2 linked regions of the Nothobranchius furzeri genome follow. The protein of the gene in region 1 binds, or shares a complex with, the protein of each later gene. Links are inferred from orthologs where the notes say so. Each region holds a gene or a part of one and is shown in the gene's direction. Other genes may lie near its edges.

What was found.
Region 2: gins4 (region 1) and mcm4 share a complex: the UniProt entries of both Homo sapiens proteins name them as parts of the CMG helicase complex. The link is inferred for Nothobranchius furzeri from reciprocal best matches to the Homo sapiens genes GINS4 and MCM4.

The regions. Positions count from the first base shown.
Region 1 is NC_091757.1:38,273,472-38,277,772, forward strand, and holds gins4 (DNA replication complex GINS protein SLD5), read left to right. Parts: upstream 1-1,254; 5' UTR 1,255-1,545; coding exon 1,546-1,641; intron 1,642-1,759; coding exon 1,760-1,846; intron 1,847-2,702; coding exon 2,703-2,816; intron 2,817-2,900; coding exon 2,901-2,998; intron 2,999-3,071; coding exon 3,072-3,160; intron 3,161-3,265; coding exon 3,266-3,356; intron 3,357-3,472; coding exon 3,473-3,569; 3' UTR 3,570-3,577; intron 3,578-3,840; 3' UTR 3,841-4,114; downstream 4,115-4,301. UniProt on the Homo sapiens protein: Required for correct functioning of the GINS complex, a complex that plays an essential role in the initiation of DNA replication, and progression of DNA replication forks.
Region 2 is NC_091751.1:50,642,627-50,647,200, reverse strand, and holds the start of mcm4 (DNA replication licensing factor MCM4), read left to right. Parts: upstream 1-1,639; 5' UTR 1,640-1,734; intron 1,735-2,477; 5' UTR 2,478-2,491; coding exon 2,492-2,555; intron 2,556-2,643; coding exon 2,644-2,802; intron 2,803-2,886; coding exon 2,887-3,050; intron 3,051-3,128; coding exon 3,129-3,230; intron 3,231-3,299; coding exon 3,300-3,395; intron 3,396-3,465; coding exon 3,466-3,561; intron 3,562-3,645; coding exon 3,646-3,784; intron 3,785-3,892; coding exon 3,893-4,113; intron 4,114-4,222; coding exon 4,223-4,343; intron 4,344-4,521; coding exon 4,522-4,574. UniProt on the Homo sapiens protein: Acts as a component of the MCM2-7 complex (MCM complex) which is the replicative helicase essential for 'once per cell cycle' DNA replication initiation and elongation in eukaryotic cells.

The DNA.
Region 1 (4,301 bases):
TATACATCACTCATCTTCCATTGCACTTGTCTTTATTCTGTTTTTTACCCCCCATTGAGTACTGTATGGTAAAATCTGTAAAAATGTATGCAGTGACAAATGCTTTATGTATCTAATACCAGTGTTACAGTTTCTAGAAACAGTTATTGCAAATGTTATTGTTTTTAATGTATTTAAATAAAAATGACAAATGCAATCAAAAATCTGTGCAATAAAAACTTTTCAGTGTAAAACAATCCTCCATCTGCACAGTTTTGACCCTGCAGGTTTCATTTAGAACAGAGTTATGGGTGCCAGCTGTGGTCAGTGGTGCTCATTGTCAGTAGGCCTACTATAACAACAGGTTTGCATGGCAAATGCAAAATCATCAGTAGAACAAATGCTCTGAGAGCAATAAGGAGGAAATAGAAAGAGGAAATCATACAAATGAGATTAGCCCTCAGGCCACTGTTATCTGGAAACAGATGCAACAAGTCAAGCAGATGATGGAACTTATTTCAAATGCAGGGCAAGACTGACTAAGAGATGGTATGTTGAAAAATGTATGTGTGTGTGTGCATGTGTGTGTGAGAGAGACCGTGGGTGACCTAGTGGAAGTTCAGTAATCATAGTTTTGAGATATTTGAGCCCTGGTAGGAGGAGGACAGAATTTTGAATATTCATTCTATGAATATGAGGTACTACAGATAGTAAACAATATTCAAGTAGATATGTCTTTAGACTAAATGTTGTATATAAACATTGGACATTGTTAAATGAATGGGAAATCTGACATACTGCTTTATAAAACATGCAAACCTCGGTACATATTTTTTAAATGGCTTTTTACCAATTTCATGTTATTAAAATAACAAATATTTTAATTCATTATGGTAATGAATGACCACTTAATATTTATTTTCATGTTATTTAGTCAACATCAAAAATGAAACACAATTACCATACAAATAACATTATTATTATTATTATTATTATTATTATTATTATTATTATTATTATTATTATTATTATTATTATTATTATTAACTGTTGTTGATGTTACTATTATTAATGTTGTTATGTTATTATAATTCCTTATTATAATAAAAGCTTGTTCAAAAACATTTTATTTTATTTGCAGGAAATCCAGAGAACCCTGCGTTGTTATTTTTTTACCCTTCGTTATGCATTTCGGACAGGTCAGAATGACCTGACTAATATTACGTGAGTAATCACTTTAGAGTAAATAAGAAAACATTCTCTTATCTCAAAAATACTGCCTTTTTCTATTTACATTTTTTTGTATTTTATTGATCTTTGTGGCTGCGGGAAAGACTTGGCCTTACAGTCAAAATTCGGGGTTTTTGAACAAAATACAACTCTCGCGAGAACGCCAGTGGCGCGAATAAACAAGAGCATTTTGCACCGCAGAAGCTTCAGGGACGACTGTGTAGCTAAACTCGTTTTATTACTTTTATTTAAGTTTCCCATTTTGTTATTTGAAGCCAAAACAATATCGTTTCTAAAACAGCAGTATTTAATTAGCGTACCTTATAAAGTGAAAGCATGTCGGACGCGTTGTCGGATGACGGCAGCGACATCAACCAAGATGACAGCCAGGATGTCATGACTCCGGCGGAGCTGATAGCTAAACTAGAAGAAGTGAGTCTTTTTATTTGATTTATCACGTTTTAAGTCGAACTGTGGGTCTTTGGGTCTGCTGTTTCCTGGCTTTAATGTTGTGCCAGCTGTGCCTTACAGGTGTGTTTGTGACCCGCAGGCTTGGCTGAACGAGAAGTTCTCCCCAGAGCTGCTGGAGAACAAGTCCGAGGTGGTGGAGTGTGTGATGGAGCAGCTGACTCATATGGTAACTACCTGGGGAATACCTCTCAGATTCTCTGTAACACACACAATCACTCTCTAGTTTCATGTTCAACAAGTGCTGGCTGTTTAGTGGAAACGCTGTAGACAGCAGAGCATACCGGAGAAAATAAACACACGAAACTAAACTAACATCATATTTAACATTTATTTAGATTAGTTTCTATTAGTTATACCAAATTAATCAATAAGACAAGCATCAAAATAAAGATTTATATTTAAATAATTGATGCTGATTCTGCCTTTAATTACATTAAACTGCTTTGACTATTCATTAGATTAGTGAAGTGATGATTTAAATGCTTGCCGATAACAAATATTATGTCAGATTATCCTGTGTGAAAAACAGATTTGTGTTTGACTAATTACTAGAAACAACCTCAAAGTGTTTGTTGAAGCAGGCGTGGGAACAATACTTTATGTTCTCTTATTGTGGTAAAAAAAAAACGAAGCGTTTTGATCATTAGCTCCTGTTTCTGCTTTACTCTAGACTTTAAAGGAGATGCTTTACTAATGCAGTGATTACATTTTACATAATAAACTAATACAAGTAGATTATTTTCAGAGTTGACCTTTATATTTATGTTTATGTTTATGTATTTAGCAGACGCTTTTGTCCAAAGCGACTTACAAGTGAATTTTGACCCCAGGGTGTGTAAAATTGTGTCTTCTAAGAGCTCAAGGTGAAATTTTTGCTTTTATTTCTCTTCTATCAGGATATTTATCTACTGGAATCCTGACATTAGATTACTGTGGCTCTTTAATATTCCAGATCTGTGTTATTTGTAGTGTTTTTTTTAAAATAAATTTTTATTTATTTTTTGTGGCATTTCCCCAAACAGGAATCAAACCTGCAACGGGTAAAGAAAGGTGATGCCAAAGCCAGCTTCCACCGAATGGAAATAGACAGGATCCGCTTTGTCCTCAGCAGCTACCTGCGCTCTCGTCTGCAAAAAGTCAGTCGAAGTAACGTAAAGATCTACGCGGTTTCTCTTTTACCTTTAAAAAAAGCACTGATCTGTCACGCTGTCTGTGTTCAGATTGAAAAGTTCTTTCCTCACGTCCTGGAGAGGGAGAAGTCTCGAGTGGAAGGACAGCCATCTCTGCTCTCTCCTGAGGAGTTTGCTTTTGCTAAAGAGTGAGCATAGAGTGACGTCAACTGTTTGATTTAGGATTTTAATAATAAAAACTAATTTTAATGTTGTGTGCAGGTATTACACCAACACAGAAACCTACCTAAAGGCTGTAGCGCTGAAGCGAATGCCACTCAACTTACAGACTGTAGATCTGCTCAAAGCAGGTAAACATTATATTTGCTTCCTTGGAAATTGCCATTTGTGGCATTTACTGCAACACACACACACACGGGCTGATGCACTAAATCCTGTGATTGATCCAATTCCAGTGCCCGAGCCTTGCTTGGACTCCTTTGTGTTTCTGCGAGTGAAGGAGAAACAGGAAAATATTTTGGTGGAGCCTGAAACCGACGATCAGAGGTAGTTCTCCTCATGGTTGCTGTTCATTCAGTATCCAGTAGGTGGCAGTGTTGTCGTTGTACACCTAGTGACATGTTTAAGGTATAAATACTGAAAAATAACACCTCTTCTGTCAGAGAATATATTGTGGATCTGGAAGAGGGCTCGCAGCATTTGATGCGATACCGCACCGTAGCGCCGCTGGTGTCAAACGGAGCGGTGCAGCTGATTTGAAAATCAGGGTGAGTTGAGATCCGTTATAAAAAAAACACATCTCGTTAACTCATTCATGACCTCTCTTGCATAGACATCCGCTAATTCCACTCTGCAGATGTTACATAAGCAAACTCTTTGCTGTGAAATCTGAATTTATTTTTAGCTCCACTGTTTTATCTCTTGGCAACAAAGAAAACTGCAGTATTTAGGTTGGCTGTGGATTAAAATTGACAGTTCTGTAATTACAATGGGCAACGAAATGCAACTAACACTTATTTTTACATTGCAGGTGTTGCTGAGGATGTTTTTTTACTCCAGGAGATCCTACATTTCAGCACTTGTATATATTTGTTTTTGCTGGAGTTGTAATGAAAAAAAGGCAGTTTAGTCTGTTGAAACCACACAGATAAAACCGGGAAACACAAACTGATTCTTTATCATCTGGAGAAAGGACTAACTTGTGTGATTTGAATGTAGATAACATTCATGACACCGTGGGGAGGGATGCTTGTGATGCTATTTTTGGATGTTTTACTGTTAAATCATAAAACAACTAAAGTGTAGTCGTGTGTGTTTTTGTGTTAATAATCACATTCCTTCCTGTGCCGCTGTATCGCATGACATCCCACTGCTCGGTAACAGAATGCATCAGTTGACCTGAAGGCGAAAAGTTCGGTTCACTTGGCATCAGAGCTCCTGTCACTTTTAGGTCTGGATGCATGTTCGCGTGTGTTCATGCTGAAGGCAGCT
Region 2 (4,574 bases), on another chromosome or scaffold:
TCATCTCTGTTGTCATTGTACAATAACTAAGAGTTAAATTTTGGAGAGCTACACGGCTACTAAATTCAATATTTGTGAACATTTATAATTTCACAAAAGTAATAAAATTATTCTATTTATTATATAAGCTACTGGCAGGCATTAACTCAAGTTGAAGCTGTTAACGTCGTTTTTCTGATGATCTCAAATGGTTGTTTCTGTCTGAGAGGCTCTCCTAAATCACCGACAGGCCGACACTTCTCGGAAATGTTTCTCATGGTTTCATCTTTGGAAGTTTGTAGTACTTTTCCTCTGATGCTTCCCTCTGGTGTGGAAAGTGCGCCACACGGTGGTTGTATTTGTACCTGCAGATCACACTTACTTCGAACATTTGATTTTCTTCCTCTTCAATTAAGAGCACATTTAACTGTTATGTCTCATGGTTAAGTGCTCACAGACCACCGTGTAATCAGCACATCACACCCACACCATCGCAGCAACATCATCATTTAATCAACAAACAGACCTCTCTTTAATCCCTATTTTGTAAAGCAATAATATAATTTATTCTAGTACTAACTGTATTCTTAGTCTTCTCTAAGTGTATGTGCTGCTGTAGCAAGGTAATTTCTCCACTGTGGGACTATTCTATTCTACCAACACTATTGGTCTGTATTGCATATTTTGAACCAGAAGATGGCGGAAGTCCTCTGAAATCCAACCAATACAACAAGAAAGTGAGCTATTTAGCCCTAGTATTATTTCAGTTATTGATTAAATAATTTCTTGCAGAACATGTAGTCATGCTATGACATAATTAAAGTATGCTGTCTTAATAAATGCAAAAAGGAAATATCCAAGCTAGACCACACATATGTTGAGTTTCTGTCTAACACGAAAATCGGACCTCAAGAGACTCACGGAAATTCAGAAATTGGTATTTATTTGTTTATTTTTATTATGTTTTTCAGACAAGTTAACAACTTGCTGTACAAGTTTCAACACCTGTTGTTAGCTAATTAAACATACCGATCAGATTTCTCCTCTGTAAAAAAATATATATTTCTAAATTCATTAATCAAGAACTTTTCATAAGCTATAAATCATTTATGAACATATTAATTAACCACCAATAATTAATTCCAAGATACATTTCAGAAACTGGGTAAGAATGGAAACTTAGTCATAAACATTACTTTAAAAGGTCAATAAATTCAATAGTTTTGGGCCAAAGTCTCAAAGTCTCCATAAGTTAGCCAAACGTTGTAAAGCCGTATTAGGATAAGAAATGACGTAAAATGTTGTAATGAAAGATAACAGTGAAAATCCCATTTTCACAATCAGCTGTCCGTTTAAATCTGTAGCCTGATTATATAATGACCATAATAACGCACTTTTGCCATTTCATGTTTCAATCGCAAGAAAAAGTCGCTTCCTGTTGGACGAAACCAAATCAGCTAGGAGGCGTGATCAACAAAACACTTCACGTAGGATTCACAAAACAGGCTGCGAACATTAACATGAATAAAACAAACGTTTTAAAATTAATTTGATAGTTTTTTGGATTATGTAAAATTGTACAGTTATTAATGAGCAGAAAGGAGCAAAACTTAACCGTACACACCTCTGAAGTAAAGGAGTCGGCCGGAAACGGGAGGACAGTCCTTACTTTTTATTGGCTGAAAGTTCCCCGCGAAATCTACGTCAGCAGCAGATTCGCGCCACAACTGCGGCACTCGGACATACACAAAAGTGGTAAGAAAATCAGTAATTCTTCAAGTTAATCCTTGTTAAATCGGTAGGTAGCTTTTCAGTAACTGTACGCTTTGGCAAACAAGCTCATCTTAATTGCGAGCAAATGTTTGGGTTTTGTTTTTATTTAAGTCACATTTAACTCGCAGATCCAGTGAAATCCAACAGGCAGGGAGGTTCATTATTGTCTGTGCAGCCACATGTCAAATGGTGTCCAAAGTTAGCATAAGTGGCTCTAAAACTAACGGATGAGCATAGAACACCTTTTATTGAAGGAAAATGTTAACGTGACCAGATAAGTTGAGTCTGTTAATGAAGTTTGTAGGTCATTTTTGCCGCTAAGCGAGATTTTTCTGACTGTCGTGGTTTGACACTGCAGAGTTCTGTGTAGTTGTCTGACAATCAAGCGATTTCTATTTGAACCGGCCACCAATAGGAACCAGTAATAAACTGCCTACAGTTTAACCAAAACTCTCAGCATGTCAACTTGTTACTATTTAAAGTAAAAACTAAATTCTGAAAGTATTTGGTTGAATGTTAATTTAATTGGATTTAAGGAAATATCAACATGATGACTCCAACGCGTAGAATGGAGAAATTGTACAGAAACTGTTGGCAGTTTTTGATTATTTTTTTACGAAGCTTCTTTCATCCAAACAAAACATGCATCGTGAAAAGAAATGTATTGATCAAGTCTGAACATAAAAACGCTTAAATCACCCTAAGTCTTGTTTTTTGTCATGCAGATATCCCATCAGCCATGTCTTCCCCTGCATCGACTCCTGGTGGCCGCAAACGTGGAAGGAACACCAACCCTTCCACTCGTACGCTCATTTACATGTTCATCCCTGTGATGTGATTTATTGTTGTGAAGCATGCTTTGTTTACTTTGATGTTCTGTGTAAATCTCAGCGCTTAGGGAGGACCCAACCTCGCCTCCCTCTCAGCGACGCAGAGGTCAGGACTCCTCCACTGGTGACCTGATGCCTATGCCCACCTCTCCAGCCACAGACATGGCCAGTCCTGCAGCTCAGCAAGACACCTCCCTGTTCTCGAGCCCGCGGCCTTCAGGTATTTCATAGTTTTATTCTTTATGACCTTTTATAGAATAAAACTGAAATGAGATTATTAATCTGTTTGATGGGATTGCTACAGTTCTGCCTAATGAAGTGGACATGAGCTCCCCTCTGATGTATGGGACCCCGAGCTCCAGGGTCGAAGGGACCCCGCGCAGTGGAGTGCGTGGAACACCGGCCAGACAACGACCTGATCTGGGATCAGTCAGGAAGGCTCCTCAAGTTGATCTTCATTCTGATGCAGTCAGTAGAAGAGCAAGTTTAATGTTTTCAAATCCAGCCTGAAAACAGAGAATCTAAACATTCATTTTTATTTTTCAGCCAAGTGCAGATGGTGTTGCAGCAAATGAACCAAATGCAGCCCAGAGTCTGGTGATCTGGGGGACTGATGTCAACGTGGGAACCTGCAAGGAGAAGTTCCAGGTATGACCGTAACTGATATGTGATGTCTTTTTATTAGAACAAGTCTTTATGATCTTTTTGTGCTTTCAGAGGTTTCTGCAGCGGTTCATCGACCCAAATTCTACTGAGGATGAGAACGCTGGTCTGGACTTAAATGAGCCTTTGTACATGCAGAAGCTGGAAGAGGTACTCGCTGGTTCTACCGTGATCCTGCAGATCGTGTTCAGGTATTAACTTTCATGTCTTCGTCTCTCAGATCAGCGTTGTGGGTGACCCCGTGATAAACGTCAACTGCCAACATGTGCAGTCCTTTGACGCAGACCTGTACAGGCAGCTCATCTGCTACCCACAAGTATGGTAGTTCCGTTTAAACTTTAAAAATGAGAAAAAGTAAATTATTAAAGTGGGAAACATCCTGTTGTGTATTTTTTTGCAGGAAGTTATCCCGACCTTTGACATGGCCGTCAATGAGCTTTTCTTTGAGCGTTTCCCAGATTCCATTCTGGAGTACCAGATCCAAGTTCGCCCCTACAACGCCCTGAAAACCAGAAACATGAGGAGTCTGAACCCAGAAGGTGTGTGTGTGTGTTCATTAATTCAGGCCCAGATGAGCACATGCAAAACCTCCCATCCCATATTTTGTGTGGGGTTTCTGTGAACACTAACGCTTGTCGCCCCCACAGACATCGATCAGCTAATCACCATCAGCGGCATGGTGATCCGCACCTCGCAGCTCATCCCAGAGATGCAGGAGGCCTTCTTCCAGTGCCAGGTGTGCGCCTTCACCGTCCGCATGGAGGTGGATCGCGGCCGCATCGCCGAGCCGGGCGTGTGTCGCCACTGCAACAACACCCACAGTCTGGCGCTGATTCACAACCGCTCGGTCTTCTCTGACAAACAGATGGTGGGAGTTTGATGCTTCATGGTGACATCATCATCTGAATGTGGCAGGTGGTACTTAGTGATGCGTTGACAGATTCTGACATCTGTTCATTCACTGATCTTTGCAACAGATCAAAATTCAGGAGTCTCCCGAAGACATGCCGGCCGGGCAGACGCCTCACACCACGGTTGTGTACGCTCACAATGACCTGGTTGATAAAGTTCAGCCTGGAGACAGAGTAAACATCACCGGTAAGACCTCGAACTCATCCCTGCAGGAATAAACGTCACAATAATTCCCTTGGAACATTCAACCTGAGAAGATCAGTTCACATTTCACTTGAGTGCATCGACTTTTTAAGGCTCTGATCTCTTTGTGGGAATTTTGAACCGGTGCTTGTTCCAACTCTTGTCACCTTTGTCTGTCCAGGTATCTACAGAGCGGTCCCGATGCGCGTGAACCCACGTCAGAGCAACGTAAAG